4 linked regions of the Notamacropus eugenii genome follow. The protein of the gene in region 1 interacts with the protein of each later gene in a pairwise test. Links are inferred from orthologs where the notes say so. Each region holds a gene or a part of one and is shown in the gene's direction. Other genes may lie near its edges. The genes, in order: CWF19L2, NAB2, GFAP and TRIM37.

What was found.
Region 2: the proteins of CWF19L2 (region 1) and NAB2 interact in binary tests that used the Homo sapiens proteins (3 or more experiments, as listed by UniProt). The two-hybrid records come from large-scale screens. The link is inferred for Notamacropus eugenii from reciprocal best matches to the Homo sapiens genes CWF19L2 and NAB2.
Region 3: the proteins of CWF19L2 (region 1) and GFAP interact in binary tests that used the Homo sapiens proteins (3 or more experiments, as listed by UniProt). The link is inferred for Notamacropus eugenii from reciprocal best matches to the Homo sapiens genes CWF19L2 and GFAP.
Region 4: the proteins of CWF19L2 (region 1) and TRIM37 interact in binary tests that used the Homo sapiens proteins (3 or more experiments, as listed by UniProt). The two-hybrid records come from large-scale screens. The link is inferred for Notamacropus eugenii from reciprocal best matches to the Homo sapiens genes CWF19L2 and TRIM37.

What each region holds. Positions count from the first base shown.
Region 1 is NC_092876.1:147,499,943-147,507,391, forward strand, and holds the start of CWF19L2 (CWF19-like protein 2), read left to right. Parts: upstream 1-4,435; 5' UTR 4,436-4,591; coding exon 4,592-4,684; intron 4,685-7,449.
Region 2 is NC_092874.1:232,431,417-232,439,380, forward strand, and holds the start of NAB2 (NGFI-A-binding protein 2), read left to right. Parts: upstream 1-4,964; 5' UTR 4,965-5,336; coding exon 5,337-5,419; intron 5,420-6,932; coding exon 6,933-7,791; intron 7,792-7,964. Other genes in the region: uncharacterized protein, read right to left, coding at 811-840, 2,658-3,308. UniProt on the Homo sapiens protein: Acts as a transcriptional repressor for zinc finger transcription factors EGR1 and EGR2. Isoform 2 lacks repression ability.
Region 3 is NC_092873.1:348,995,383-349,002,670, forward strand, and holds the start of GFAP (glial fibrillary acidic protein), read left to right. Parts: upstream 1-4,276; 5' UTR 4,277-4,286; coding exon 4,287-4,738; intron 4,739-6,737; coding exon 6,738-6,798; intron 6,799-7,150; coding exon 7,151-7,246; intron 7,247-7,288.
Region 4 is NC_092873.1:371,820,814-371,828,550, reverse strand, and holds the start of TRIM37 (E3 ubiquitin-protein ligase TRIM37), read left to right. Parts: upstream 1-4,725; 5' UTR 4,726-4,978; intron 4,979-5,195; exon of another isoform or gene 5,196-5,325; 5' UTR 5,326-5,418; coding exon 5,419-5,439; intron 5,440-7,319; coding exon 7,320-7,421; intron 7,422-7,737. UniProt on the Homo sapiens protein: E3 ubiquitin-protein ligase required to prevent centriole reduplication. Probably acts by ubiquitinating positive regulators of centriole reduplication.

The sequences.
Region 1 (7,449 bases):
TTGCTGGGGCAGGAAGGACCAGCTTACAAATGCTGAATACATAGTATCCTCTGTGAAGAGGAGCACCATGAAGTTGGCTTACATTTTGCAATCAGATCTAATCAGCAAGCTTTTATGCCTCCCAAAAGTAGTGAATAACACGCTCATTGAATGCAGCTGCCAGTTACAGGAAAATGCCATGCCACCATCATCAGAACATATCCTCTCACCAAGATTAATCTTGATAAGTTCAAAGAAAAATTTTATGAAGACCCTGGGTACCCTCATAACCAATGTGCAAAAAGAGGGCCAGCTTGTAATTCTGGGTGACTTTAATGCCAGAGTAGGCACAGATTATCAGATGTGGCAGGGAATCCTCAGGAGGATGTAGCACCAATGTGATATTCACAGTGCCTATAGCAGCCATGAATATGCCAGCACAATTCTGAATTGCGAAATACCACAGACTCTCCACATGGAAGACAGAGCAAAACATTTACTCAGACACAATAACAACGCAGAGGGCAGCACCACCCTAAAGCCTTCCCTCTTCTAGGCTTCCCACAAACCAGCTCCATTAGACAAATCACAAGTAGACTCCCTTAAACAAAATCACAAACAGGCTCTTTCACTCACACTAGCCAGCTGCCTGCTTGCTTGGATCCTTCCTAGCTCTGACTGCTCTGACCAATCTTTTTCTCAGCTCTGCTCTAGCTCTACCTCTTCCTGTTCCACCCTTCCTGCTCTACCCGTCCAGCAAGCTCCTCCCACAACATGTGACTTAGGCTTCCATGTGATTTAAACAGGTCACATGGACTTGTTAATAGATGGGAAAGATCTTCAAATTAAGCAAAATATTACACTAACAATAAGCAAAAATGAATTATCAATACAGAGGAACATAGCCAGAAATAGCAATATCAATGGTCATTTACTACTGAAGACTTGAGTGTTTCACAGCTTTCTCATCGTCAACACCGCCTTCTGTTTACCTACATTCAACAAAATGTTTTGGATGCACCTTTGTAACAAGCACTGACTATATCATTATAAGGGGAAGAGACAGGCAGGAAGTGAGAGTGATGAAGGTGATGTGTGGCACACAGTGCTGGACTGATCACAGACTTATCCTTTTAAAGCTAAAATTCCCATGCAACAAAAGTGGTGGCCCCAAGGCAAGACAACAGTCAGGAGACTCAACCTCAACAGATCAGAGTGCTTCTGCTTTCATAAAGTTTATTGCTGACCTGAAGGGAAAGCAGAGTCAGCAAACAGCAACAATGGAGCAGAAAAGGAGTGGGTAGCATTCAGAGATTTGGTGTATGGCACTGTATTTGCTCATCTGGGCCAGAACATTTGCAAACATAAGAACTGGCTTGACAAAAATGATGGGGAAATTAAAGAAGCTGTTAGACAAAAAAAGAGAACTCTACAGTGTTTGCCAGGAAGACTGTTCATCTGTCTCTAAGAAGGCAGTATTTAACTCTATCAAAAGTAAACTGAAATCAAAGCTTAGAGAGATGTTGGATTTTGAATTCAGTAAAAAGGGAGATGAGATTCAGTTTTCCACCAATAGCAAGTATCCCAAAGTGCTTCTATGATGCCCTGAAGATTATTTATGAGCCAAAGACCTCTGCTGCATCTCAAGAACTCAGCACTGATGGAGTCACACTGATTAGTGATAAGGATATGATCCTGAAGAGATGGGCTGAATTCTTCTATAGTGTTCTCAACACATCACCATCAACCAATGCTGAAGCCATTGGCTGTTTACCTTAGGTTGAAGTCAATCCCTCTCTAGATGAACTTCTAAATGAAGGAGTACTGAATGCCATTAGGCTTCTTTTGTGTGGCAAAGTGCTTGGCACTGATTCCATCCCAGCAGAGATCTACATGGCGGACAGGTTCACTGTTCATATAGATGCTGACTGAAGTCTTCCAGGTTATGTGGCAAGAGGAGGTTATCCCTCAGGAGATCAAGGATGCTTCCATTGTCCATCTCTATGAAGGAAAAGGAAACAGATTATCCTGTGACAGTTATAGGTGTGTGTTTATGTGTGTGTGCATGTCTGTGTGTGTGCGCGCGTGTGCGTGTGTGTGTCTTAGTCATTGCTGGCAAGATTCTTTCCAGAGTACTCCTTAATTGGCTGATCCTTCATGTGGAAGATAGTCATCTACCAAAGAGCCAGTAAGGCTTCAGAAAGGGCAGAGGAAACGGCATTATTGTGTTTGCTGCCCAACAACTCCAGAAGACATTTCTGGACCCAGTGTTTGTCGACATGACCAAGACCTTTGAAACTTTGATACCTGATACAAGGCCTCAGTCATGAGATCTTATGGAAGATTATGTTGAACTTTGGCTGCTTGGAGAAGTTCATCAATATTGTACACCAATTTCATGATAGCATATTTGTGTAAGTTCTTGATAAAGGACAATACTCTCATGCTTTCCCAATTATCAGTGGAGTGAAGCAGGTTGTGAGCTTGCTCCCATGCTTTCTTAGCATTGTTAGCATTTCAGCAATGATGTTAGATGCCTTCAATGAGGGAGAAAACAGCATCAAGGTCAGCTACTGCACTGATGGCAAATTCTTTAACTTGAAAAGGCTACAAGCTAAAACTAAAGTAGAGGGAGAGTTGGTACACAACTTTTTGTTTGCAGATGATTGTGTACTCAATGCAGACTCTGACGCTGAGATGAAACAGAGTATGGATTGATTATTTGCTGCTTGTGCTAATTTTGGCCTGACAATCAATACCAAGAAAATAGAGGTTCTCCCACCAGCCAGCATTTTTCCATCCATTCATGAAACCGTTGGTTAACAGTGAATGAAGAAATTTTTAAAAAATTATTAATTTATTTATTTTCAGTTTTCTATAATCACTTTCATAAGTCTTAGATATTTTCCCCCTCCCTCCCAAGAAATTTTCTATAGTGTGGGGAAATTCACTTACCTTGGTAGTATACTTTCCAGGGATGTTAGGTGATGAGGTTGATGCATACAGACATTGCCAGAGTTAGCCCAGTGTTTGGGAGGCTCCAAAATAAAGTATGAGAGAGAAGAGGTATTAGGCTACATACCAAACTGAATGTCTACAGAGCCATTTTGTGCTGACCTCATCACCATATGACTATGAAACCTACCTTGTGTACCAGTACCATGCCAGAAAAGCCAACTGTTTCCATCTGAATTGTCTTAGATAGATTCTGAAGATTACCTGGCAAGATAAGGTATCAGACACAGGTCCCTGAATTATTGGCATTACAACTCTATGGCAGAAAGTGTAACTCCAATAGGCTGGTCCTGTAGCCCAAATGTCAAACATATGTTTACCTAAAAGACTATTTGGCTGAGAAGTCTTCTAAGGCAAGCACTCACATGGGGTCAGAAGAAGTGGTACCAGGACACTCTCAAGGTCTCTCTGAAGAACTTTAGTATCAAGTGAAACATGGGAGACCCTGGCACAGGACTGCCCGGCATGGTATACCTGCATCAAAGAAGGCTCTGTGCTCTAAGAACAAAGCAGAATCACAGGAACACAAAGCAAATATGAGAGGTACAGATCTAGAAAAAGCCATCCCAAATGTTCAAATGGCCTATTTGTAGTTGGAGCTGTGGTAGAGAGAGTCTTGTGAGCTCCCATCGGACTGATCAGCCTCAGTCAACACGCTGTACATCACTGTGCCCAACAGAGTGATGTCATTGGTACTCCACAACAACAACAAACACTGTGGGAATTAATTTTCTTTGTATAATTCCTCTGTGTAATTAGTAATAATATAATTATTCTCTGTATAATTAGTGGTGAAAATGGGAGTTTTTTGAGGGAGGCGTGATAGTGGGTGGAGAGGAGTTGATGTCTAAAACTTTGGCAGCAGAGCGCAGCGTGGGGAAGCTCTAGGTCAGAAGGGGGGAGGGATCCCCAAGGTCAGAAGGGGGGAGGGAACCCCAAGGCTAGAAGGGGGGAGGGATCCCCAAGGTCAGAAGGGGGGAGGGATCCCCAAGGTCAGAAGCGGGGCTCAGAAGTTAGGGGTGAGCAAGGGCTCGGAGTCAAACTTCATGGTTTTGCGGAGGGTCGGTTACTGATACAGGGGTGCCCCGGCTGCGAAAGGTGAAAAAGAGCATCGACTTTCCATAGCGAGCAGTGAGGTCCATGGCAAGACAATCACATTCTCGGGTGCCCGGTGGCATCATCCCTTCCGGTAACAGCCTCCCTTTAATGCTAGCAAACCTAGCCCAGAGGTGAATACGCGGTGTCCCAAAGGTCTCACAGCAGGTGGGTCAGCTGACTAACTCCTTTCTCCACCTGCATTTGCCTTCTCCTCCCAGGATTTAGCTAGACTCGAGGGAGGAAAAGACCCCACTCTTGGAGAGGGAGAGAACAATTCCTCGCGCGCATACCCAGGACTCTGAAGTTCCAACTCTCCTTCCCATAGGGCGCCCCGCCCCTCTCCGTCCCGCCCCGCCCCTCTCCGTCCCGCCCCTCCCCTCTCCGTCCCGCCCCGCCCCCAGGGACTCCTGAGAGCGACGAACCGGAAGGTTCGCTTTTACGACTGTCGTAAGCCGACTTTTACGACGGTTGCCTTGGGAACTTTTCCATAACAACAACGATGGCGGCTTCCGGTGGTCGGTTTGAAAGCGCTAGGAGCATCGAAGAACGGAAAGAAGAGAAGCGGCAGGCTCGGGCCGAGGTCCTGCGACAGGTATCTCCGTCTCAGAGCATCCTTGTACCGTCGTTCCCTGTGCCCAGGGCGCTGGGGGTCTGGGGAGCCACCCCTCCGGCCACCGCCTGCTTCCTCCCTGTCCCCACGCTCTCTTAGGGGCCGCTCTCAGGCCTTCCCGTCCGTCAGCTCCCACCCCGAAAGCCCGCGGTCGCCCCCGGTCACCCCCGGGGTTCTCGCCGTTTTAGACCATTTAAGCTCAGACCTCACTAAGGCTTGTGGGGACCCCTGATTTCAAGTCCCGCTTACAAGTACAAGTGTTGGAGCGTACGGACAAGAGGCCTAGAAAAGGGGAGGAAGGCTGCCCAGGGGTTCAGGCCTCGCCTCCTTTTGCTGTCGTTCTGGCGAGTTTTTGCGATCCAGTCCCATTCAGCGTCCTCTCGCCTCCCCAGCCTCCCCCCAGCTTCTCCCCTTCCCTGTTTCTCTTCTCTCTTCTACCCTTCAGCTTCCTTTCCCTATTTATGGCCTTTTCTTCTGTCTTTCTCCTCTTAACTGTTTTCTCCTTATCTTCCTTCTCTCCAGAAGAAGACGATTTGTGTAATGCGTATATATAGTCAAGCAAAACAAACTCCATTACTGTCATATCAAAAAAAAAAAAAAAAGATCTTTCCCTGCATTCTAAGACCATCACTTCTCTGGGCTCCCTCCCTAGCCCTCTCCTACATTTGCACTATTTTCCCTGCCCTAGAAAGTTAAGGATTTCCCGGACCATGGGGTAGGCGTCCTGATCACCTTTTTCTTTGTTTTTCTTAAGCTGTCAGATATTGAGAAACTGCACCTTCAAAAAATGTTGGATGGAATAGACGTTGTGAAGCTCTTTAATTTTTCTGAAATGGAGGATGGACAGAAAGATTCTGAGCACTAAATACATCGATTGTCTTTGTGAATTTGTGAAAACTGGAAGTGCCAGTTTTTCCTTTGGAATTTTAATCTACTTGTCCAATATTTTTTTTCCTTACTGAGTTTAAATTTCCCTCAGATAAAAGTGTATTTTGCAAAAAAAATTTTCATTTGAGATAGTCATAAATGGGTGAATATATAAATTGGAGTTAAGTAAGAGAGCGTTTCTGAGCAGTTCCATAGATTTTTTAAGAAAAAAAGTTATTCTTCATTTTATTACATGGTAAATTCTTGAGGCTGTGCCTCAGTTGAAGGTTCAAAAGATTATGAGAGTTTTGTATTTCTAGGCTGAACTAGGAAAGATATCTAGATTAGCTTTTTCAAAAGTCAGTGTGGTTTTGCTTAATCACATTTGTAGAAAATAGGTATTACTGTTTCTTGCTCTGTGAAAATTGAACCTGGAAGAGGATTTGAGTCTTTTCCCCCCTCTTTTCCTCTATGCCTCTCTTGATTACTTGTTGAAATGGTGCCATTGTTGCTATGGTTATGATTTTGAGGATAAAAAATAATAATAGCATTTATGTGTCATTTTAAGATTTACAAAGAGCTTAGAAATTAGGAGGTCATAGGATTTAGCAAGGGAAGAGACCTTGTAGACAGCCCAAAACTCTTATATTACAGACAAGAAAAAGAGGCCTAGAGAGGATAAATAGAAGAGACTGAATTTGAATCCAGATCCTTTGACTCCTGTTTTCTGCTACAACAGTAGTTTTACTTGGTAGGCACAGTTATATTGACTTTCATATTTTTTTATGTAGCAGCATCATGCTTGATTAACTTAGTTTTCTTCTCAATGTCATTGTGAAATAGCTTTTACCTCTTTTATTGCTACATGCTAAAGGAACTCCATCCACTTCAGTAAGCATTTATGTTCAAATCACTGTGTTAGACGCAGTGGTTAAAACAACAACAAACAAAAAAAGTTACATAGACGAAAAAGGGCACATACCTATCATCACATCTATTAGGGGATGGAATGGGGGGGAGACACAACATGTAAGAATAGACAGCAGATAAGTACAGATACAGATACAGTGTAATGGAAAGGAGGACACATTAATTACTGAGGGAATAGGAAAGAGTTTTTTTTGTTAGAAGTAGTAAGTACTTAAGTGGAGCTTTGAGCCTTAAAATGAGGTGGAGCAGAGAAGGAATGTATAACCTGTGTCAAGAAAGAGAGATGTAATGTTACAGACAGGAAACAAATACACCCATCTGCCTGGAATGTTGGGTGTATGAGAAGAAATATGAAGTCAGTTTGACAGAAGATAGAGCCAGAGAAACCTCTGATATTTGTTTGACTCCTGTTCTTTAAAAACTTTGGAAGTCTTTGTAAATAGGCATAACATGACACTATTTGAATTTCTCATGTTTTCACCTCTTTGTATGTATTGAAGAACTCTAGAATAAACAAGTTTATTTAGGTTAAAATTTTATATTACATACACCTTTTGTTCAGAAATCTGACTTGCCTATTGTTCATCTTGGTGATTTATATTATTTTTAGTGAAGAGTTTACACATTGATATTTAAACATCTTTGACTTTTTTGGCTGTTTGAATTCTGGTTATACAATGGAGAAAGATGTTTGTGGAAGAATGACAGATACTAGTACAAAATTTTGACAGTGTGGACTTACCAAAAGATAATCTATTAGATGTATTATTTGTTGAGTTGTGTATTGATTCAGCCATTCTGGAGAGCAATTTGGAACTATTCCCAAAGGGCTATAAAATCACGCATACCCTTTGACCAAGCAATACCACTACTGGGTTTGTATACCAAAGAGATAAAAAAGGATAAAGACCCATATGTACAAAAATATTTATAGTTGCTCTTTTACTGGT
Region 2 (7,964 bases), on another chromosome or scaffold:
TGGATATAAGAATTTATATAATAGTGGAAAATCTTTATCTTTTGAGGGTAATTGAGATTTTCAGAAATGGCCCAAAGTTAATCACCACTGAGTCTGGAATCTGCATCAAAGGATCAAACCAGGCAATTTACTGTTTTCGCTTCAAAAGTTTATTAACATATTATTAAAGTATATTATTAAGAATTAAGAATGGAAAGAAATCTTTCTCCCGAGTTGAAAATGGAGATGATTCACTTTTGTTGGCTATTTTTATATTGTGTATGCTAAAAAACAAGACTCCAACTGAAAAGCTGTTAGATTCATTGACTATTATGACCTACTATTTTGTGGTACAGTATATGTTTAAAATAAAAAAGGATCTTTGAAAAAGAAATTCACCTGCTTGCCTAGCTATAATCAATAAACCACTGAATAATTAATTATCAACATAATTATTACTTATAAGTCTGCCCTATCCACCAGGGCACACATAGGGATTTTTCAAAAGTAAAGAAACATATTCAAATATATTGCTCCAAAGAGCAAAGAGGGTTTCTTCTACTTCTAAAAAATAAAATAATTCTTAAAATATTGTTCATTTCATTCTCATATTAGCCTTTAAAATTTTTATTTTGTATATTTTTATGTAATATACATAACATTGTATAATAATACATGCATATTATTTATTAACATATATATTTCGGGTGTGTGCTAGACAATATTTTGCTAATATGGATATCTTATCTAAAAATCTGGAGCCCTCTATGCTCAAGCTATGTATAGGATGTATATATGCATAGCTTTGGAGAACCACAGGTCACTTCCACATCACAATAAGGCACCACATCTGAGGAGCATCTGGGGAAGAACACAGACAAGAATTATGCGGGATGAGAACATCTAGAGAACCCACGATCTGAACCACTGGAGGGAGTACACACGCCAGTGAGATCAGAAATCCATGTAAGCAATGAGACTCATTTGGTGATGCTTTTTGTTTCCCTGCCCATTTCTTCTCCAACACTTCCCCTCCTCCCATCCTTTGCTTTTCTCTTCCTTAAGCATTTTCTTAGGAAACTGGGCTTGAAGATCCTGGGTCCCTGTTCTCTAAATCAATTCATATTACTTCCCTCCTTATAGAATCCTCACACAAATCTGGATTAGTGAACAACCAGCATTTCTAAGAGCTATGTGACTGACTGCACGTATATAACATATAGCGGATTGCTTTCCCAATATAAGGAAGGGAGAAAAATGTGGAACTTAAAATCTTATAAAAATGAATGTTGAAAATTGTCTTTATATGTAATTAGAAAAAATAAAATACTATTTACATAAAAAGAGATACGACCCTGGGCAAGTCACTTAATCTGTTTGCCTCAGTTTCCTAATCCATAAAAAAAGATAACACCTACCCATCAGGGTTGCTGTAAGGATATCAGGAGATAATAACTGTCAAGTGCTTAGTACGGGGCCTGACACATAGTAAGCTCTATTAATGTTAGTTATTATTATTTCCCCACCTCCATTTCTTCTCGCACACAATATTATCCATGCCTGGAATACCCTTCTCCACCCACCCCAAACTTTTGAAATCTTAGCTATCCTTTAAGGCCAAATTGAAATACCACCTCCTTCAGAAAGCCTTCCGTATTCCCTAAGTCATTAATAGCACTTTCCCCTCAAGAATCCACTCAACACTTTTCTTGCAATTCCTCTAAGTACCTAGCAAGTGCTATTTTTTAAACTGTGGTTACTTATGTCTCATATCCTCATACCTCCAGAATGGTAGGAACTATCTTACCCAGCATTATGCTCTACAAAGCAGTAGTTGCCTTACAAGGGTACTTACTGAATGTTTAGTAAAAGGAATTAAATTAGAGGAAGCAGGGAAAGGGAAGAATTAGTCTGTGAACAAATAGTATAGTCCCCAATGTAATAAACTGCACATTATACGAAAACTCAAAACTGATAAAGAGCTCACTATTTCTGCTTTGAAAACCAATCGAAATGGGACCTTAGAGAAAAAAATGGGCCCTTTTCCCAATCAGGCAAGAAAGTGGTTTAGGGAGTGAGGAAGAGGGAAAGCTTATAAAGAAAGTGTTTTTTTTTTCTTTTCATTTGGTTCCCGTGAAAGAACAGGCTTCTAATTTGGTTACTGTCTCTATTTCTCTTTGTGTCTCTATGTAGCTTCTTAAGGCCCAGTTTTTGTTTCTTTGTCTCTCCCTTTTCTCAGGTCTGGAAAATCCTTGTTCTCAGAGGAAAGGAGTAGGAGGAGAATTGGAGGATGGTTGAGAGGAGGAGGAGAACAGACATCTCAGCAGCTCTGGCTGCGGGGGCGGCTGTGGCCGAAGGTGGAGCCTGACAATTCATTGATTTTGAAAAATAACAAAATCCACTCATAAGAACCCAGAGATACAAACACTCACAAGCACAAAAACACGCATCTAGAACACACAATTCACTTGGACAGCGACACACAGTATCAACCCCAAAAGATACAGTCACACTCTCAAACATTCAGGACACCTTCCAGGCCAAGTAATTGTCACCACTGTCCTACCCTGCCACAACTTACCCCCTCGGCAGATACAACCTACGACCTCAGTGGGTACAGTGTGGGGGAAAGCGCTCCCTCCTTTTCTTTGGGGAGTTCAAGGACTAACAGCTCTCACCGTCCCTACCAAACTCCTCTTGCCCCACATCAGCAGCGAGGCAGGGAATGCAGGGGGCGAGGGAAGGAAGAACCGGCTCCGCCTTCTGCCTCCGTCTCCCCGGCCGGGTCCCGTCCCAACCTCCTCTTTTGCCCTGCCCCGAGCCCTCGACTCAGGCCTCCTTTCTCCTCGCTCCCGGCTCTCCCTCCGGACCCAGGGGCTCGGCGCCTCCAGAGGGCGTCCGGGTGGGAGGGAAGGAGGCAGGGAGGGGGCGCCGAGAGCCCGAGGCTGCGGGGGTGGAAGGATGTGCGTCATGGGGAGCGTGGGCAGGAAGGGGGGCACGTGGAAACCCGGGGCCGGTGGCTGGCAGCTCAGGCCCCAAAAATAACCGAGGGGTGGGGGAGGGTCCACCCACGCTCGCGCCGGGGCTGGCGTTCCAGGGAGCCCCCCACCCTCGTGAGGGCAGCCACCAGCAGACGGACACAGCTCCCTCCGCCCCATGTTGGGCACCCTGTGGTTTGGAGAGGGTGAAGGGGACAATCTTATTTGCTCAAGTCTCACCCCCACCCCGACAGGAAATGCCCCAACCTCCAGGGAATGTAGACCCAACGAAAGTAGAGAAAGTGCGCCCGGTGCCTCTAACCCTCCCCGGCACACCGCCCACCCGTCCATTTCAAGTGTTGCGTGAACGCTGTTGAAAATTAGGGCATGTGGAATTAGAGTCTGGGGGCTTGGAGGCTGGGGAAAAGGCTGTCCTCTCCTGGTTGCTTGCCTCTCCTCTCTTTGTTGTTCCCCCCCTTATTATCTTCGAGTCCTGAGGAGTGGGGTGGGGTGTGTACCCCCCGCTTCCCCCCCCTTTCCAGCCGTGGGAGTGAGTGTAATAAAAACCATATGGAGCTGAAAGAAATGGGGGAGGCAGGGGGTTAGGGGGTAGAGAAGACTATCTGGATAAAGGCGGTTATTTGAAATTGCTCCACCCCTAGAATTCTGCTGTAGACCATCCCATATAGAAAACTTCACACATTATTTCCTGCCATTTAGCTATTCTGTATCACCAAGCGCTCTGAAAAGACCCCCTGCCTCCCCCCAGATGCCCTCAGTGCACTGCCTTACTTCTTAGGATATGACTTTTCTGGTGTAGAACAGCCAAGCTGAAGTTTGCCCCAAGGAAAATAAACTAGAAGTGATGAATAAAAAGGAAAATGGATTGGGGGGGGGGGGGGGGCGACTCCAATTTACTATCTGAGGTATACTACCTGAGGTATGCCTAAAAGCCAAGTAAGAGTCCCGCGGTTCACAATAGCAAACCAATCTTTGACCCTATGAAGTAACAAACTGGTATCCATTAGAAAATGTAAACAAATCTATTTGGTGGGTCCTAGAATTATCAGTACACATTCTGCCGATTTCTACCGCTGTTATCATAACAAACACCACTGTAAACCTCTAAGACAGAATAACAGGGTGAGGTTATATGTAGTCAGGGAGCATCTCTAAGGGTGACAGAAATCCTTAAACCCTATTCTAAAATTACCTTCTGGTTTCGGAGATATCGTAGATTCAGATCTGGAAGGAACACATAGCAATTGTTTTTTTCAACCCACTAGTTGGGTTTTTTTAAATAAATGAGAAAATCATGCTTTTTTTTTTAATAGAGGAGGAAACTGAGGCCCAGGGAGAGAGGTAGGGGAATCTGCCCAAGGTCATACGGCTTACTAGCCGCCGAGGAAAGATTAGAACTGACTTCTAATCCAAAATCAAAAGGCTTTCCATTAAAAGGTAGGAGACCAGATGAGTTTCCAGCCGGACGATGATACTGTCCCAGAAGACCCTTTCCAGAAATACCGTCTCACAGTGCACACACTGCGAGTCTCTATCTCCATCCTTCTTCCCCATTAAGCTAACACTAGAAGGTCTAGGAACCAAGGGACCTAGATTGTAGGGGGCTGGTGTGACTCTGCATGTGTCTCTCTGTGTGGTTGTGTTTGTGTAGCTGTCTCTGTGCGTACCTGTGCGTGGTAGTGGAACTCCACTCTCAGGTTGGCAGGGTCTGGGAAGCTGGAGTTGGGGGGCAGGGATGGATGCCTGCTTGGGCACTCACGTGGGGGCGGGGGCGGAGAGAAGGCGGGTTTTGCATCCGGAGTGGGCAGCAGAGAAAGCTCCTAGTCCCGCCCTTAAGATACTAGCCCGCCCTCTCCAGCCGGGCCTGGGTCACCTAGTCCCCTGCTCGGTGCCCCAGCCCCAAGTCCCCGCCCCTACCCCACCTCCGCCTCCGCCCCCGCATCCGCCCCCGCCTCTGTCTTTCCACCGCCTACTCCTTTTCCCCACCCCCCACCCCCCTAACTTCCTCCTGGCTCGGCCAGTCTCTTTCTCCGTTCTCTCTCCCGGGCTGAGGTCCCGGCTCCCGCCCACCGCCTCCAGCTTTGCCCACGCCCCCAGCCCGCCCGGCAACCAGCGCAGCGCCGGGCCCGCTCCCCCGTGCGTCCTGCGGGGGAGGAGGCGGTAAGCGCAGCCGGGGAGGGGGGCAGAGGCAGCGAGACACAGCTACAGAAAGAGGAGACGTGGAGGCAGGGACGGAGCCCGGACAGCGGCGGACACTACACGGAGCACTGGGCACCAGGTATTGGGCACCGAGCTCCTGGAGCAGAGCGAGGAGTACTGGAAACCGCCAAGGGTACCCCGGAGGGTCTCCTACCGTCCATGCACAGGGCGCCCTCCCCTACTGCTGAGCAGCCGCCGGGCGGAGGGGACAGCGCCCGCCGGACCCCGCAGCCCAGAGCCAAGTGAGTGGGGAGAAGTGGGCTGGGCTGGGCTGGGCAGGCAGTGAAATGATTCTGGAGGGGGACTGGGTATGGGGAGCTCAGAAAGAAAACAGAATCGAGAGGGAGTGGGATGAAGGTGAGGAGAAAAAGGGTGGGGGCTGTGAGTCCATAGAAAAGGAGGCCCAGGGCTCTGTTAGTGCCGAGTATAAGGAGAATATTACCTAGTCCCTCATTTCCTGCCCCAGGCACAGCTTGACGGGGTAGTTGGTATCTGGAACTAGGAAGCTCCATCCCTAGGGCAAGCCCCATCGCTTAGGGTTGGCCTCGGCGCCCCCGACTGGTTTAGCTTTAGGACGGCACGAGAAAGAGAAAACAGGCTTTTCAGTTGCTAGAAGCAGACCTCTTTGAAGGAAGAGAACACAGAGCTATCTCCTAGGACAGAAAGGGATGCATTAATTTCCCTTAATTTCTGGTTCTTTGTACACAGCTTGAGTGCAAGGGGCCTCTATTGTAGCCCCTCCATCATTCGCTCCCCTCCTCTTCTGCAGAGGTGGATAGGAATAGGGAAGAGGTGGGAGGTAGGAGGTGGGGGCCCCAGGGGCGTTTGCACCCACACACTCAGCCACTGTGGAAGTCTGCGTGGGCAGGACAGCTCCTGAAGGGAACAATGAATACACCCCTATCCTTCTTTCCCTTGGCACCAGGGCCTGGGAGGCCTTGGGGGCCATAGAAGGGGTGGAAGAAGGTCACTACAAAGATGGGGAGCGGGGACACTCAGAAAAGGAGCAGTATGGACAGAAGGTCAAGGCCTTGGAAGTTGCTGGTGGGGGAAGGGAAGTGCTGCTTGGGTGGGTAGGGGATGAGCCACACCCCTTTCAGCTCAGCTTTCAGAGAACTGGGGCTGGGGGAGGCCCTATTTTCCCTGAGCTCTTCTTGAAGCCCACTGAGAAGTAGAGCAGATCAGAGGTGCTTTCTGTCATGCCCTGAGAAGCAGAGAGATGTCCTATGGGTTGGGGAGTGGAGTTTTGATATTACTGTGTACTCAGTAGAAGAGGCTTGTAGAGTATGTTGGGGAGGGAGGAGTGCTTGGCCATACTAGGTATATACTGGCTTCAATTTAACTGGCATGGCAGTTAAATGTGGCACTAACTGCCATGGATTTCTGATGCTAGGATGAGAGAAAAGCATGATGAGTGAAGGCAGAGAATGAGGACTGTGGGGCCTTGGGTCCTGTTGAGGTTAGGCACCAGCACTTGTTATTTGCTGTGGCAGATGCACAGCTGTGCATGGCACATAGTAGGTATTTTAATAAATACTTCTTAATTGATGCAAGTTTACCATGGTATATTGGCTTCTTTCTGGATAGCTCCCACTTTCCCAGATCTACTTAGTCTTCAGCTTGAGCAGGTGAATAATGAACCTTACACAGAATGTAGAAACTCTCAATTCACAAGGAGGAAAAATAGACTGAGGGGTTGGTGACAAACCAAGGGAGCTTCCTTGACCTATCTTCTTCCTGTGTGCCCCTTCCTAGGCCCAGTGTTCCAACCATGGCACTACCCCGGACACTGGGGGAGCTGCAGCTGTATCGAGTCCTGCAGCGTGCCAACCTCTTGTCCTACTATGAGACCTTCATCCAGCAGGGGGGGGACGACGTTCAGCAGCTGTGTGAGGCAGGAGAAGAAGAATTCCTGGAGATCATGGCACTGGTGGGCATGGCCACCAAACCTCTCCATGTCCGACGTTTGCAAAAGGCATTAAGGGAATGGGCCACCAACCCAGGGCTCTTCAGTCAGCCTGTGCCTGCTGTGCCTGTTTCCAGCATCCCTCTCTTTAAGATCTCAGAGACAGCAGGTGGTCGAAAAGGGAGCATGAGCAATGGACACGGAAGCCCAGGAGACAAGGCGGGCAGTGCCCGAAGCTTCAGCCCCAAGAGTCCATTAGAACTAGGAGAGAAACTCTCTCCCTTGCCTGGGGGCCAGGGAGGTGGAGATCCTCGAGTCTGGGCAGGCGGGAGCACTCCCGAGTCGGACGTTGGTGCTGGTGGAGAGGAAGAGGCCAGCTCTCCTCCTTTCTCCCCACCTGCTGGGGGTGGGGTCTCAGAAGGGCCCGGGTCTGGTGGGGTGGGCGGTGGTTCAGATCGACTAGAACCAGAAATGGTTAGAATGGTAATCGAAAGTGTGGAACGTCTCATCCGGAACTTCCCCCGGGGAGACGCTGGGGAGGTGACGTCCCTCCTCAAGCTGAATAAGAAGCTAGCTCGAAGTGTAGGGCACATCTTTGAGATGGATGACAATGACAGTCACAAAGAGGAAGAAATCAGAAAGTACAGCATTATCTATGGACGCTTTGACTCCAAGCGCAGGGAAGGCAAACAGCTCAGTCTGCATGAGGTAAGGACCTCAGGGTCCCCCTCAGAGTTCATTGACCTTTCTCCCCTCCTCCCCCTGCCCATGCTATAATCTCTAGAAATCCCTGACCTCCTTCAGTACCTATAGGTTCCTCAGATTGTTGGCTCCTATACCTGACTTGACAGAAGCCCTCATCCCCACCAGAATGGAAAAGT
Region 3 (7,288 bases), on another chromosome or scaffold:
AGTACAATTTTTTTCCAGTATGCTCGGTGGTGGCAAATTCCTCTCCTCTGAGAGTAGACTGGATTTTTGAAAACAGGAAGACATCAGGTGGAGCTACATTTGGTGATGCAGCAAAGGACTAATTCCCATTGGAATAAAAAGCTGAGGAGTTACTATAAAGGATGTAATAGGTTTTGTTTAAGGATATTCTTTCTACTCTGGCCTGGGCAGTTGGGCACTGCCATCTAGCTGCCAGCTAGACACTTCATTCTCACTCAGTGTTTGGCCAGGACATTGACCCTAGGGTCAGCCTCCAAAGGGGCCAGGCCAACAACTTCTGCACTTCCCTACTCACTCTCCTCCCAACCTGGATCTCTGGACCCTTTTTAGTCTTAGTCAGTCAAGCTCTGTTGAGTTCTTTGTCTCTTCACTTGGATCATAGGTCTAGAACTGAGAGAACCCTCAGGAACCATCTAGTTCAACCCCCTCATTTTACAGAAGAGGGAACTTTGACACAGGAAGGTTGTGTCTCATCCACAGTCACACAACTAATGTTTCATAGTCAGGATCTGAATGTAGGTCCCTCGACTCCAGAGTCTGGGATCTTTCCAATGTGCTATGACAATATCCCTAAGCTTCAGTTGTTTTTTGTTTTTTGTTTTTTTTTTAATGAGAGGGTTGAACAAGATAAGTCAATAAATCAACAAGCATTTATTAAGTGCATGCCTGAGCTAGGTGATCTCTTAAGGTGCCTTCCAGTTCTAACATTCTTTAAAAAAAATGTAACCAAGGATCTAAGACAACTCCAAAAAGGCTCATGATAGAAAACACTATCCACATCTAGAAAAAGAACTATGGAGTCTGAATGTAGATCGAAGTCTACTATTTGCTCTTTTTTTTTGTTTGTTCCTCCCATTGGTTCTAATTCTTCTTCACAACATGACTAATGTGAAAATCTATAGATGTGAATATAAGATGTAGAGCCTATATCAGATTGCATGCTGTCACAGGGAGGGGGAGAAAATTTAGAACTCAAAATCTTTTGGAAGTAGATGTTGAAAACTAAAAATAAATCATTTAAAAAATATAACCAAGGGTCCAGATCTTTGCTAGTTGACTGAGTTCTCAGCTGCCCTGTGCCTTCCTCCATGATCCTATGTTCGTGAGGTTGGAGTTCTGAACTATAGAGGGAGTGGGTACACGAAGGGAGAATATTATCAGGAAAAGACCCAAGTTGGAAAGGGACCTAGGCAGAAGGAGAGTGGTCAGATGAAGCTGAGGGCCTCTGGCTGTAGTTTGGGGTGCATCTGTCCTGTGGAGTGTATCTCAGAATCAAGTCTGTCTGTTTTTGTGACTGTCTATGTAGAGGGTGGTAATGGGGTATAGGGTTGGAGGCAGGAACCAGAGCAGGGCTTCAGGGAGGGTGAGTGATGAGGATGAGGCAAGGAATCAAGAGTGGGGCTGCTCTCATAGCTATCCCCTGGGTATGGTGATAGGGCAAGTCACTGGCAGATGGGCATTGATTCAGAAAGACAGCAAGTAGCAGATGAGATTTCTCAAGGCTCTTATATGTCACTAGTCCCTCATGATCATTACAAAAGCAAAGAAGGGCTACCTAGCTTGTTTTTGTGATTTATTATTCCCCTCCAATGGCTTCCTTGCTGTTTCTCAAATATGACATTCCATTGCCCAACTCTGAATTTTCACTGAATGTCTTCTGGGTTGTGATGTCCACCTCTTGACTTTCCTGGATTCCTTAAAATCAGCTAGAATCCTGCTTCTCCAAGAAGACTTTCTCAGATCCCCTTAATGCTAGTGCCTTTCCTCTAATTTATCATCTTTCTCTCTCTCCCTCCCTCCCTCTCTCTCTTTCTCTCTCTCTCTCTCTCTCTCTCTCTCTCTCTCTCTCTCTCTCTCTCTCTCTCTCTCTCTCTCTCTTTCTACACCCATACATCTACCCATCTATCATCTATCTATCTATCTATCTATCTATCTATCTATATCTATCTATCCATCTCTCTCTCAATATAGTTTGTACATATTTACATATTGTCTTCCCTATTAGAATGTGAGTTACTTGAGGGCAGGGATTGTCTTCTGCCATACTTTGTAACCCCAGTGCTTAGCACAGTGCCTGGCACTGTATGTAGTAGGCACTTAATAAACACTTTTGATTGGGTTTGATAGCATCTTTAAAGTTCACTGGAGTGTTACTTTCTCTTGAATGTAAATGGCAGGGTGCTGGGGGGAAGAGTACACAAACTTGCTGAATCCCACTGGAAATGTCCTCCGTTTCTCTAAAAAATGAAGATGAAAAAGTCCAGTCCCTCAATCTTGTCCATTCCCTAATACCTTACAGCCAGCCCTTTTCCTACCTGTGGGGGAGTCCAAGCCTTTCCTGGGCCCTGCCTCCAGGGTTCTCCAAGTGCTCCAGACCTAAACGCCTTTGGGTAGTGTGGGCTCTGGAACTACAGACTTCATCTTGCTCCCCCTCCTTATGGGGGCTCAGAGGTAATACCCAGATCTGACCCCAGCCCACGCTGGTGCCACTGATTGGCCAGCTGTGGAATAAGCTCCAGTTGGAGACAATGCTTTGTAATTCAGACTCAAGGTTCCACTGAGTTTCTCAGAGAAACTGTGATGAGGAGAGTCAAGTTGGCTTTGTGGAAAAAGTTGGGGAGGGAGCAGTAGCTGTAAACTGGAGCTGGGGCCTCTCTCTGAAGATGATTTCTCTTTTAGCTTTGGGTTTTCCTCTTCCCCCCTTCCCGTCTCTACTCCCCTTACCCAGCTTCTTCTGCCCACTGCATGACTCACCTTGGCACAGACACAATGGCTCCAGGGTGGGCACAGAGCCCACTGCCTATTGCTCATCAGCCTGACTCCACTTCTTTCCGAGAAGCCCATTGAGCTGAGAGCTTGGGCAGCACCCTTGTTTGGCAATCTTGCATCCTTGGGATAAAAGCAGCTTCACCTCCTGGGGGGTTGACATTTTTCTCCTCCCAAACCTCTCAGAACAATAATCCTTTCAGCAAATGCCCAGGCAAGTAGAAATCAGCAGCCTGAGAATAGTTGGGGGTGGGGGTGAGGGATGCCTATCTCACAGAAGCCCAGGGAATCTGGGACTGGAGCTTGAACTCTATGTTATCGAAGCGAGAACACTAAGGTCTGAAGACAGGATAGGAACCAGGGATCCCAGGCACCAGAACTCTCAGTCCAAAGTTTACCTCAAAGGTTAACTTATTGTTCCCAAAGTTTTGCTCCTCCCCATTTTCTTATTTCCCAGAGTACCAGTACCTAGCTCCTCTGCCAGGGAACCTAGAGGATCTAATGTGTGGGAACTCAGGGGATATAAATCTTCAGTGAGATATTGGTGGGGGAAGGGAGAGGATGGAGTATTGAGGACGGGACCCTGGGAACTCTCCCTGGGAGACAGCTCAGCACCACACAGCCTCCCTGGTCATCTGTAATGGCTTTGTGGAGCTGTCCAGTCCTGGGCTCTGGTAAGGCGCCCAGTCAGAGGAGGGTTATGAACCAGGGCAGGGTGGCATGGTTGGGAAGGCCAGAGACGTCCTATGCCTTCCTCTGGCTCATCCTTGACTAATCTCCCCCACCTCCACCACCCCATCCCCCAAAGTCATTCCTCTCTTCTATGAAGACCAATGGAAAAGATGGCAGAATAGAAGTCAAGAGGGCCTGAGTTCTAGCCCCATTTTTGTCACTAACTACTTGAATAAACTTAGACATAACTAAGGACCTCTCTGGACCTCAGTTTCCTCTTCACCAAAATGAGAGAATTGCATTAAAAGATCTTGACGGTCCATTCCTGTTTTGAGATTTTAGGAGCCAGGTTTCCAGACTGATAGGTCCTGGCTAAGCTCCAGGTCTAAAACTCTTGGTATAGAGGGAAACAGGGGTAGAAAGAGAATCTTGGAGAATGGGAATTTTCAGAAAAATGAACGCCCTTGAGAAGCCCTATGTTTGGAGTGGGAAGGCCTATGAGGTGTATCACAGTAGAATAATTTATTCCAATTCCCTGGAGAATACAAAGGCCAGCAAGAATACAGGGAGACCTTTCTCTCTCTCTCCCTCCCTTCGGTAGAATAATGAGATGGGAACTAGGGAGAGGAGAGAAGAGGGCTCCCCCCCCCCAGGGGGGCCTTCGGTCAGTGCCTCATCCCTTTCCAAGGAATGGTGCCAAAGTAAACATGGGCAGTGCCAAGAACCAACAGCTCAGGGTAGTGGAGCTGGGTGTGCCTTTCTATAAAGCCCCCTTGGGGCTGCCTGATCCAGCCAGAACCAGGGCCAAGATGGACAGGCGGCGCATCACCTCCTCTGCCCGCCGATCCTATGCCTCTGAGGTTGTGGTACGCTTCCCAGGTTCCCGCCGCCTGGCTCCAGTTGTCCGGCTCTCCCCGAGCAGAATGCCACCTCCGGTTCCCACTAGAGTTGACTTCTCAGTAACTGAGGCACTCAATGCCAGCTTCAAAGAAACACGGTCCAGTGAACGGGCCGAGATGATGGAACTCAATGATCGCTTTGCCAGTTACATCGAGAAGGTCCGTTTTCTGGAGCAACAGAACAAGGTTCTGGCAGGGGAGCTCAACCAGCTTCGGGGCAAAGAACCTACCAAGCTGGCCGATGTCTACCAGGCTGAGCTGCATAGACTCCGGTTTCAGCTGGATCAGCTGACTGCAAGCAGTGCCCGGTTAGAGATCGAGAGGGATAACCTGTCTGAAGATCTGGCCACCTTGAGACAGAAGTGAGTAGGTGGTTGTCCTAAGGAGAAAGGGAGAGGAAAGGGTGCAGTGTGACTTGAATAGGCTGGTCGCCCCCTCTGGAGCAAGGTTATCCAGTGGTAACCTGGGGCAATTCAGAATCTCTCTAGACTTCAATTTCCTCATGGGCAAAACGAAGAGGTTGCATTGGGTGATCTCTGGGGTCCCTTCTCAATCTAAATCTAGGATGTTACAGTCTTGTTTTCCCCAACTTAATAAGAATAGTTCCTACTTCTTGGGTCTGTGATGAGACTGAAAATAAAAAGAAGAGATGAAGCTAGAAAAGGTAGGGAGAGGAGACCTCAAGGTCAAATCCAAAAGCCACAAAAGATTCTCGTTCTCAGTTTTCTCCTGGGAAAATGTGTCTGATTCTTGGAGCAGTAGCTCATTCTGGAGGAGAAGTATGGGACAAATGGCAGGGTGCCTGGACTCTGACAGCTTTTGCTTTACTAGGTTACTCTGGGCATCTTGCTTGACCTCTCTGGGACTCAGAACTGTGTAGAAATCAAGGAGGGAGAAAGGGATGCGAGTGTCAGAGGGAAAGACAAAGTTAGATCCTGGATGTTTATGAAACTGTGGTTCTTGTGCTTCAGACTCTGGTTTGGGGGGGTCTATTAGTCACTCAGTTCATTAGTCTGCTCATCTCACACAGACTGTGAACTGTTTCATCCTTGTGAGCAGAGTCCTGTGCTGAACCCAAGGAGAGATACGCGTGCACACACACACACATCCCTCTAATCTGACCAGGTACATAAGAGACCCATCCAAAATAGAAACAAGGATGGGCTCTTGGGTAGAGCTGTGAGCATCGGTGCTCAGGGAATTCACGGGGAATGGAAGGAAGTCAGGAAGACAGGTAGGAAGAATTAAGGAAGGCATCCCGGAGATGAGGGGGAGTCTTAAACAGGGCTGGGGAGGAAGGAAAGGAAGGGGTTAAAGAGTGAGGATAGAGTGGGCTGCCAGAATGGGTGTGAGACCACTGTTTACATTATTCTTCATGGCCACCTCTAAGAATCTGGCGGCCCTTTAGTTATTCAATTAATCAATTTATTCATGCTACAGATCAACTATCCCCTGTGGGCAAAGCCTTGTTCTAAGCATGAAGGGGAGACACAAGCATCAGCAGGGACTACCTGGATATGGATTGGAAAACAGAAGCTGAAAAATCCAGAGAATACATTGGGAGGAGTCAGTCTAAAAATGCCCTGAGATTCTAGGCAGGAGTCTGAGCAGCACTGTAGGGCCAGGCTGACATCCAGATTTAGAGATGAATTCCTCATTCTGGGGCCATGTGGACAATCTGCTCACATGCTCTTAATAGGCATGTTCTCGGATAGCCTGTGGTGCCCAGAGTTGAATGGGCAATAGAAAGAAACCCCATGGAGAAACTTCTGGGCTATTGGAGGGGGCCAGAAGCAAAGAGGAGGGGAGGGAGTGTTTTATATGTGTGCATATCATTGTGTAGAGAGATATAGATGGGTTAGTGGAATAATGCATGTATATAATCTATTAACTAGTTGCAAGACTCTAGGCAGGTCACTCCCCCAACTCTGGATCTCCATTCTTTCATTTTCAAACAAGGGAATGGGAACCAGGTGATAGCTCAGGGCCCTTTTAGTTTGTCGGAAGGGCAAAAGTTTTGTCCTCCCCTTAACTTCCCCTTTACTCCAGAGGATTGTTGGGACCCTTCTCTCTGTAGCCTTCAAATATCTCATGGACAATTTAAGGTCACTATGTAACATAGTGGGTAGAGTGCTGGGCCTGGAGTCAGGAAGACCTCAGGTCAAATCCAACCTCAGGCTCTTCCTAGTTATGTGACCCTGGGCAAGTCATTGAACCTCTATTTGCCTCAATTACCTGTACTGTAAAAATAAGGATGATAACAATAGCACCCACTTCACAATGTTTTTTGTGAGGATCAAATGAGATCATATTTGTAAAAAGCACCTGGCACATCCTAAGTGCCTATCCCCTTCCTTGCAGGCTCCAGGATGAAACCAACCTTCGACTGGAGGCAGAGAACAATCTAACAGCTTATAGACAGGTCAGGGGACTTGGAGGGGCTGGAGGGAACCAGGCAAAAAGGTGGCAGCATCCCCTAAACTCAGCCTCTCCCTGTCTCTTGTCTTTGCCCCATTCCCTATGTCTGCCTTTGTCTCTCCCTAATCCATCATCCTTCAGCTCTGCCTTCTTTCCTTGTGCCTGGCTTGTCTCCAGTCCTGTCTTTTATCTCTGTCCTACTCATTCTCTGTACTATTCCCTTATCCCTGGAGAATGGAAGCTGGGTCAGAGCTGAGGGATAAGGAGAGTGAATGTGTGTATATGGGGGGGAGGGGGGCATTGGGGAAGGGGATGATATCCTGAGGTCAGAGCTAGTCCTCCTCTCCCTGCTGCAGGAGGCTGATGAAGCTGCTCTGGCCCGCCTGGATCTGGAACGGAAGGTTGAGTCTCTGCAGGAAGAGATTCGCTTTCTCAGGAAGATTCATGAAGAAGTGAGAAAACCAGAATGTTCCAGGATTTCCCTTCTCCTTGTA
Region 4 (7,737 bases), on another chromosome or scaffold:
TCCACACCATGGGTCCCCTATACCTTTCCGGTAATATTTTATATTACCATCCACACACCCTTGCTGTTCCCCAAACGTGGTGTGCCACCTCCCACTTTTAGCCCTTTGCACAAGGTAGACTTCATGTTGAGAATGCAGTCACTGCTCACCTCTACTTCTCAGAAATCAGCTTTGTCTAAAGCACAATGTAGGGATTACCTCCTCCTATAGAAAGGCTTTCCTGGTTTCTTCTTGTAATTACTTTGGATAACCTTTGTATTTACTTAACTTTGTGAATCAAACCTTTTTTCCCCCCTTCAGAGCAAAGTATTCTTTGTTGTGAAAAATCACAAGACACTGAATGTTTAAGTTGGCAACAAATAACGGTTCCTGGGCAGTCAGGCCTACAGCAGCCTTTATCTGGGGATTGGGATTTCTTTGCCTTTCCTTTCCTCTCCCACTTTACTTCCCTTTGACTCCCAGTTGAGGAGGCAGCTTTGCACTGTGGTGGATATAACTGCTACCGTGACCTTCCTGACTCAAGGCAGGAAAAACAGGAAGCAAGCTGCAGCTGGGAGAAGGTAGAAGTCTCAGGGTATGGGAAGGAATTCCGCAGCACACTTAGCATTCCATACAGCCATCCCCTTTAAGGATCACTGGCATGTGTGCTTCTCCTCTCCCTTCTCTGCTCTCCTCCTCCCCCCTCAAGTAGAAAGTAAGTTCTCTCTGGTTATTTTTTATTTTTGTTGTTGTTATTCTAGCCTTTACATCCTGGTCTCCAGCACAATGCTGGTACTTAGCAGATGTTTAAAACAAACATTTGTAGGATTGGATTGGATTGAATTGACAGGCAGGAATTTGGGCCTTTGTATTTTTTTGTCTCTTAAACCCCTTTTCACGCCACAGTGATAATAATCTTTTCTCACAATCTGTTTTGGGCATTAATTAGCTTATCACAGAAATAATGACTCAGAAGGGGTGAGGGGAGGAAATGGGCACACTACACAAAAGTCAATAAAAAACCCCACCAATGTCTTTTTATGTTTCCTTGATCTACTAAGGGTACTTAATGCTTAAAATAGCTCAATAACTAGGACTTTCCAGTAGCATGGTGTAATAAAAAAAATTACATTATGGATTTGAAGCCCAGCTCTGCTACCTATATAGCAACAGAAACAAAAAAAAAGTGGAGGAGTTCTTATTTTAGCTCCTACTCCCACTAATAGACTGGGTCCCTGAGAGTAGCTATTGTATCTTTTCCTTAAATATTCTAGGATAGAAGTGTTACTGGGTCAGAGCTGCATGTAGCTCACAACATTCCCTAATGTTGCTGAAATTAGATTAAAATGTAATTAGGAAATATTTAAGAAGACAAAACATAATAAGATATAGATTATTACATTTTAAAACTAAGTCAATATGTGGCTGTAGGTATCCTTATTATAGGATTTAGTGACCTCTAAGCTCATCTCCTTTCTTCCTTCTAAAAATAGGAGACACAACAGAGACAAAAGCAACATAGGTGCCATATATTCCAAGGCACATTATACTGGTTGGGGAGGGCCTACAATGGCAAGCAGGGAAGAGAGGGATTGAATTGTCAGTATCTTTATTATGCACACTCAGTTTTGGATCAGTAGTCAATAAAAAGGTTTTCCAGGATGATATCGCAGGTGAACAGAAAAGTCAGTGTTTGCATATGCTCTGAAGTGGAAGATGTGGCCTCTCCATTCTGTTACATCTCACTTCCAGAAGCAGACCACTCAAGCATCTACATACTTTGGCAGCAGACAGAAGCATTTGTGTATACTGCTAGGACTAGGCCCCTCATTGGCTAGTCACCCCCCATCCCCACCCTCCCCTTTTGCTGTGAGACCTTGGGTACATTACTTCATTCCTCATTCCTGTAATCCTCATCTGCAAAATAAAGGTGTTAAGACTAGATAACCTGGAGGATCTGTTTTTCGCTCTAGATCTGGTAATCTATTGCCCTAAGACTTACACGATTCTCTGATCCTTACTCATTAGACCTGTGAGCTCAGTGAATATGAAAAAAGGGATGGAGGATATGCATAGAGTCCAGGGTGAGGAACTTGTGGCCTTTTGACTGAATCCAAACTTTTGTTTGTCCAAACATTTGTTCTGTAAAGTTTGGATTCATTCAAAGGGCTGCATTTGAGGGCCTGGGGGTCCACATGTAGCCTTGAGGCTGCAGGTTCCCCACCTCTGGCATAGACTAACTCGACCTTGTTACTGGGGCAGCCAACTGTATTGTCAGCACACATGATTTGGCTTAAGCCCCAGGTCTGGGGAAAAAAAATCCCCTGAATGAACAAGAACAAAACATTTGTAGAAGCCTTTTACCCAAGGAATTAAAATGCAGCTGGGATGGATGCCTTCAGAATAGGACAGAAGTCTTTGGTGTACTATAACCCAAGAACTGGCAACTAGTCCTAAGGGAAGGGGGTGTGTAAACAACTGAAGCAGGGACGGGGAACAGATTAGAATTACTGGTTGGTGTTCAGCACTACCACTAATGCTATTTCTTGTTGGGGGAGACGAGATGCTAGGAAAACACTGTATGTAGCTCAAGCCAATGCAGAATGGTGGGGACCGTCTTTGATTATGAGAACAAATCTGCTGAAATGCCTACTTCCCTGTTCTGATTCCAAGAGCCTCCTTGCCTAATAGCCAGCAATATTTCTCCCCAAGGCCTGTCATCCTTCTCCCTTTGGCAAGTTCCTCCTGAAGTCTCTATTTTGTGATGATTACCAGGCCAATCTGCCTTCGTGGTCCTCCCCTTTCTTGTTGCTTCCTCTCCTCCACAGCCCCCTTTCAGCTTTCTTTAGCGTGTGATTTTTCCTCCTTAGAAAGTAAGCTCCTGGAAGGAAGAGACTTTTCTTTGTGCTTGCATTTACGCTCTTTGCATTTAAACACAGTGCCTGGAGCACCATAAAGGGTTTAATAAATGCTTGTTTCCTTCCTTTACCTCCCTTTAGTTCTTGTGCTGAGTCTAAATGTGATTTCCTACTTCTTTGGGAGTTTGTTTGCTTTTTGTATTTGTCAAGTGCAATCAAAAGAAAATTGTTTCTCTGATACTCAGTTTGTGCCCCGAGTAACATACTATGGTTGCCTAAGGGGGAAGTGGAGGAAAGAGACAGGGACTGTGATTCTTTTTTTAATTGTTGAGATTTTTCCCAGTTTGGGGGCTCAATTAGAACTACATATATTTTGATACATATCAATAGATTCTTCCCCAAAGCTGAGAAAAAAGATGAATACAGACTTAAGACCCCCAAACGAGTCAGTAGGAGGAGGGCTAGGCAAGTTAAAGGGGAAGGAAGCCCCTAAGAGGCAATAGTTAGAAGGAAACACAAAGAGGGTTTAGAGACCTAGAGGGACACAAGTCTGGAAAGACTTAAGGGTGGGGGCCTGGAGAGAGGTAGGAGCTAATTTTCTTGATTGAAAACATCATTCTTTTCTTATCCCTTCCTTCCCGAACTGCCGAAGCCCTTCTCCAGTGCCAGGCTCTGTATTCAGGGGCTAAGATTAAATAAAAAGCAAGAGTCCTCAAGGAGCCTCTATTTTTAGTAGTGAGAGTGCGAGGTGGCACCCGGCCTAGACCTGAGTTCAAACTGGACCCCGGACACTAGCTGTGACCATGGCAAGTCTCTTAATCGATGCGTGTGTGCCTCAGTTTCCTCCGCTGTAAAATGGGGAGAATGGCAGCACCTCCCAGGGTTGTTCTGAGATACCTGTAAAGAGCCTGGCACACAGGAGGCACTACATGAATGCCACTGTTACTAGGAAAGCGCATCGTGGCATCAGGGGTGGGATGCTGAGGGTAGCAGCCAAGGAAGCTCATGACTCTTTCCAGAGAAAGCGAGGTTAGACTGTGAGAATGACAGTCCTTAGAGCAGCGGCCAGGGTCAGGGGAAGAGCTGAGAAATACGACATATAAGCAGACTGATGTCCTCCTTCCTCCTCCCGCGGTGGCAGGATGCCCCGAGGTTACTGCGGGAAGTGCCAAGGTGAGTGGCGGCACGTCCCGCGGGGGCCCTTCCGTAACAGCACGTTAGGAGGCTGGCCCTGCCGGGCGGAGCTGCCTTTCCCTAGCCAATCTGTCCTATTCTGTTCTGAATGAACGAACGCTCCTTCTCTCAGCCGTTACATTCAGAATACAATACAAATCCCCGCCATTCTTCCTCCCGGGGGCGTGGGAGGGGGCCTCGCTTCCTCCAGAGGGCTCACAGGCAGACGGGAACCTTTCCACGCAGGGCGTTCCCAAGGGCTGGAAAGGCACCCAGCGAGCCGCCTGACACGTGCCAGCGGCCGAGGCGGCCGCGTTCGTCCTCCGCTGGCCCAGACCCCGACCGGACCCGCCAGAAGCAGCGCGAGCAAAGCCTTATTTCCAATGCACTCCTTCGTCCACCCGCCCACCTATCCCGGGCCAGTCACCCGGACAAGACCCACCGAGGTGCAGCCTCCCAGGGCACCTGGCTCGAGTTCGGCTCTGAGAAAGCCCGGGAGCTGTCCCGGGGGCGGGGCATCTGGAGGCCCGGCCTACCGGCCCGGCGCGCTCTCCACGCGGCGGAAGGGCGATTTTCGCGCGGTAACGGGGGGCAGGGCATCCAGGAGACTCTTCCAAGATCCGGCCGAGTCGCGCAGTCCGGGTCAGCACGCTCTCCGGCGGGGGGGGAGGAGCGCTCGCTGCCCCTCCTCCGGTTAGTCCCCGCCCTCTGCGGTATTCCAGGCCCCGCCCCCTCCGCGGGCGCGCGGACTCCGAGCCAACCGCCGCCCCGCTCCCAGCCAGCCGCTACAGGCCCGCGGGGGGCGGCGCGCGACACTGCGGCAGCCGCGGGACGGTCTCGTGCTCCGCCGCGTCGCGAAGAGCACGTTTCTCCTCTCTTGCGGAGGCCTCCTACGCATGCGCGTTGCTCCCCTCCCGCTGCCGCCACCACCCTAGCCACCAGCTGCCCTGGTTACCGTTGGTGTCCCGGTACTCCCCTCTCCTAGCCCCGCGCCAGCACTTAGGCGGGATAGAGCCGTTCCCCCTGTCACGGGGGGGGTGGGGGGGAGGGAGCCGCTGTGGGGGTTCACGCTCGGCCCATTGTCCTCCCTGTTCGCCCGCTCGACCCCCCGGGCTAGGCTGGGCTGGGCTGGGCTGAGCCTGGCGCGCGGGGCCGGCTGACTGGAGAAGGGAGGGGCGCCCGGGTGGGGCGCGCGCGGACAAAAATGGCGAAATGGGGTTAGGCGGCGTGGAGGCGGGAGCGGCGGGGCGCCGAGGCGGGACCGGGTAGACCCGAGCCCCTGACCCCCACCCCGGGCATCCTGCTGTTCTCTCAGGCCAACCGGACCTGGCCACCCGGTTCTAACACCTGGTGGAGGAGAAGGACGGACTCCGCGGGATACCGCGGGGCCTGGCGGGAGCTGGAGGCAATGGATGAGCAGAGCGTGGAGGTGAGAGAAGAGGGGCGACGTCACTGCCGAGGGGAGGGGAGGGGGCGTTCTTCACCGGGGCAGCTCCGACCCCCCCCCCCCCCCCCCGCCCTCTTAGCCTTTTCCGAGGGGGGCGTGTCGCGTGCTCCAAAGGAGCCAGGCTCGCTTGGTTCTCGGCGCCACGCCCCCCAACACCGATGCCCCCCCACCGGCCCACCCCCTCCCACCGGCGACCCCCCAACACCGATGGCCCCCCTCCCGGCACCCCCCCAAGTGCCGCAGTCAGCTGGGTGCGCCTCTGGTGCTCCTTCCCGGGAGATGCCTTTGCACAATAATCCCTGTCCAGAAATGGAATGCGAAGGAATGGGTGCCCGTGTGCCCGCACTCTGTGCACCCGGCTCGTAGCGGTGCCCCGATTCCCCCTTACCGCACTGCCGGGCCCTTTTTTCTCTGCCTGGTAACCTGCCTGCCTCCAAGGGATGGGTAAAGACGTGCAGAAGTTCGGGCTCTGAGGCGCCGCGTCTGCCGGAGGCAAGGGGAATGAGAACCAGAGCTTAGCCCCCTCCCCAGCTTCCCTCTACCCCTGGGGAACAACCCCGAGAAGGGTGGGGGCTTACTCTGGGACGTGTGCTAAGGCACCCTGAGCCCCCAAGTGCTGCCGAAGGTGGCCGGTGAGGACCCTCGCTGCCCTCTTACTAGCTGGGACGTATTTGTCGGTTTATTGCTGTACGCTTATTTACTTCGATTTCCCTCAGCGTAGCTGTCCTGTTAGCTGTCCCCTTACACTACGTTCCAGTTTTGTTACACGCACGTTCCGTTAGGTTATATTCTATCCCCTTTCCCCCTCGGGAGTTCCCAACCTTTTTGGATTGCATCCTCAGATCCCTAGGCTTTCAGTCAACTTTCTGGTACCCTTTTATTCAATATGAAAGGAAATAAATTCTAGAGTTTACTATGTACGTGCATATAAGAAATGAAAGAGAAATTATTTTTTTAATAAAGAAAGCTTTATTTGGTACATAACCCGTTTAGTATTATAAAGGTTTTTTCCCCCATCAAATGTTGTGTTAGAACATATTAAGATAAATTAGTGAGACCTTTCATTCTTCTTGTCAACAGTTTTATTTTTGGTACAATTTTTGAAAGAGATATCTGCATGCCATATCCAGCTTCCACTTTTTTTCTTGCTTTAGATTTAATTGAGAACAGGATTGAGAAACCTGATTCCCAAAGACAAATTGTTATAAATGAAATTAAAGCTTTGTGAACATATAAGAATGGCTTACTGTTTTCCAAAGGTATACCCCAAGTTTTGTAACTTTATTGATTGGAAATCATTTTGAAGTCTCTAGTTACTGTGGAGATGAATTGGTTCATCTTTCACTGGGATGTTGATATTTTTTTCCAGATCCAAATGAAAAGTTTCATATTCCAAACCTCATTTATTTGGTTTTGGTCTATAAAAAATATTCATTCTCCCTTTCAGATTTTTAAAGTGCTCCTGCCTTTCCTACCCTGCCCCTGCTTCTTCACCATTTTTCTCTCAATTCACTCATTTTTTTCACTAACACTATTACTTTTGAAGTATTTCAATAGACTGACATTTATTTACCAAATATTCCTCTACTCCCTTGACAAGGTTTTCTTATTTCCTGGGGGAACATTTATACCAGACTGGGAACCCCTACCCTAATAGATACAAACTCTAGGGTCTTGCTCTTTTTCTTTTGGTTCTTAGTGAATTTCCAGTGTCTAGCACACTGCCATGCATGTAGTAGATACTTAATGTTTGTTGAACTGTTCAACCCATTTCTCTCACAGAATGCATTTAGAATTCCCAATAAGGTATTATATTAATGTTGATTCAGTTGCCTGATGTAGTGGTTTAATTATTTTCTTAGAGTATTGCTGAGGTTTTCCGATGTTTCATTTGTATGGAGAAATTGCGTGATGCACGTCTGTGTCCACATTGCTCCAAGCTCTGTTGTTTCAGCTGCATCCGGGTAAGTACTGTTCTTTTTAGTTAGAAGTAAGTAGGTTGGGTTATGACTTAAGGAGACTTCTGATAGATTGCTAAGGTGGACTTTCCATTTCTTTGTTGTTCTTCCCTGGCTATTGCAATTCTTATTTTAAAATGTGATAATTTTATTATTGTCAGTGAAATGAATGGGAAGGGTTTGGATTAATTTTTTTCTTTGTGCTTCATTGACATTATTCTCCAAGTGAATACTTACTTACCTCAGAATGTGTGAGGGTGATGTGAAAGGTAATAACATAATGGTTATACTTTGGGGCCTCGTAATGACTTTTTTCCTCATC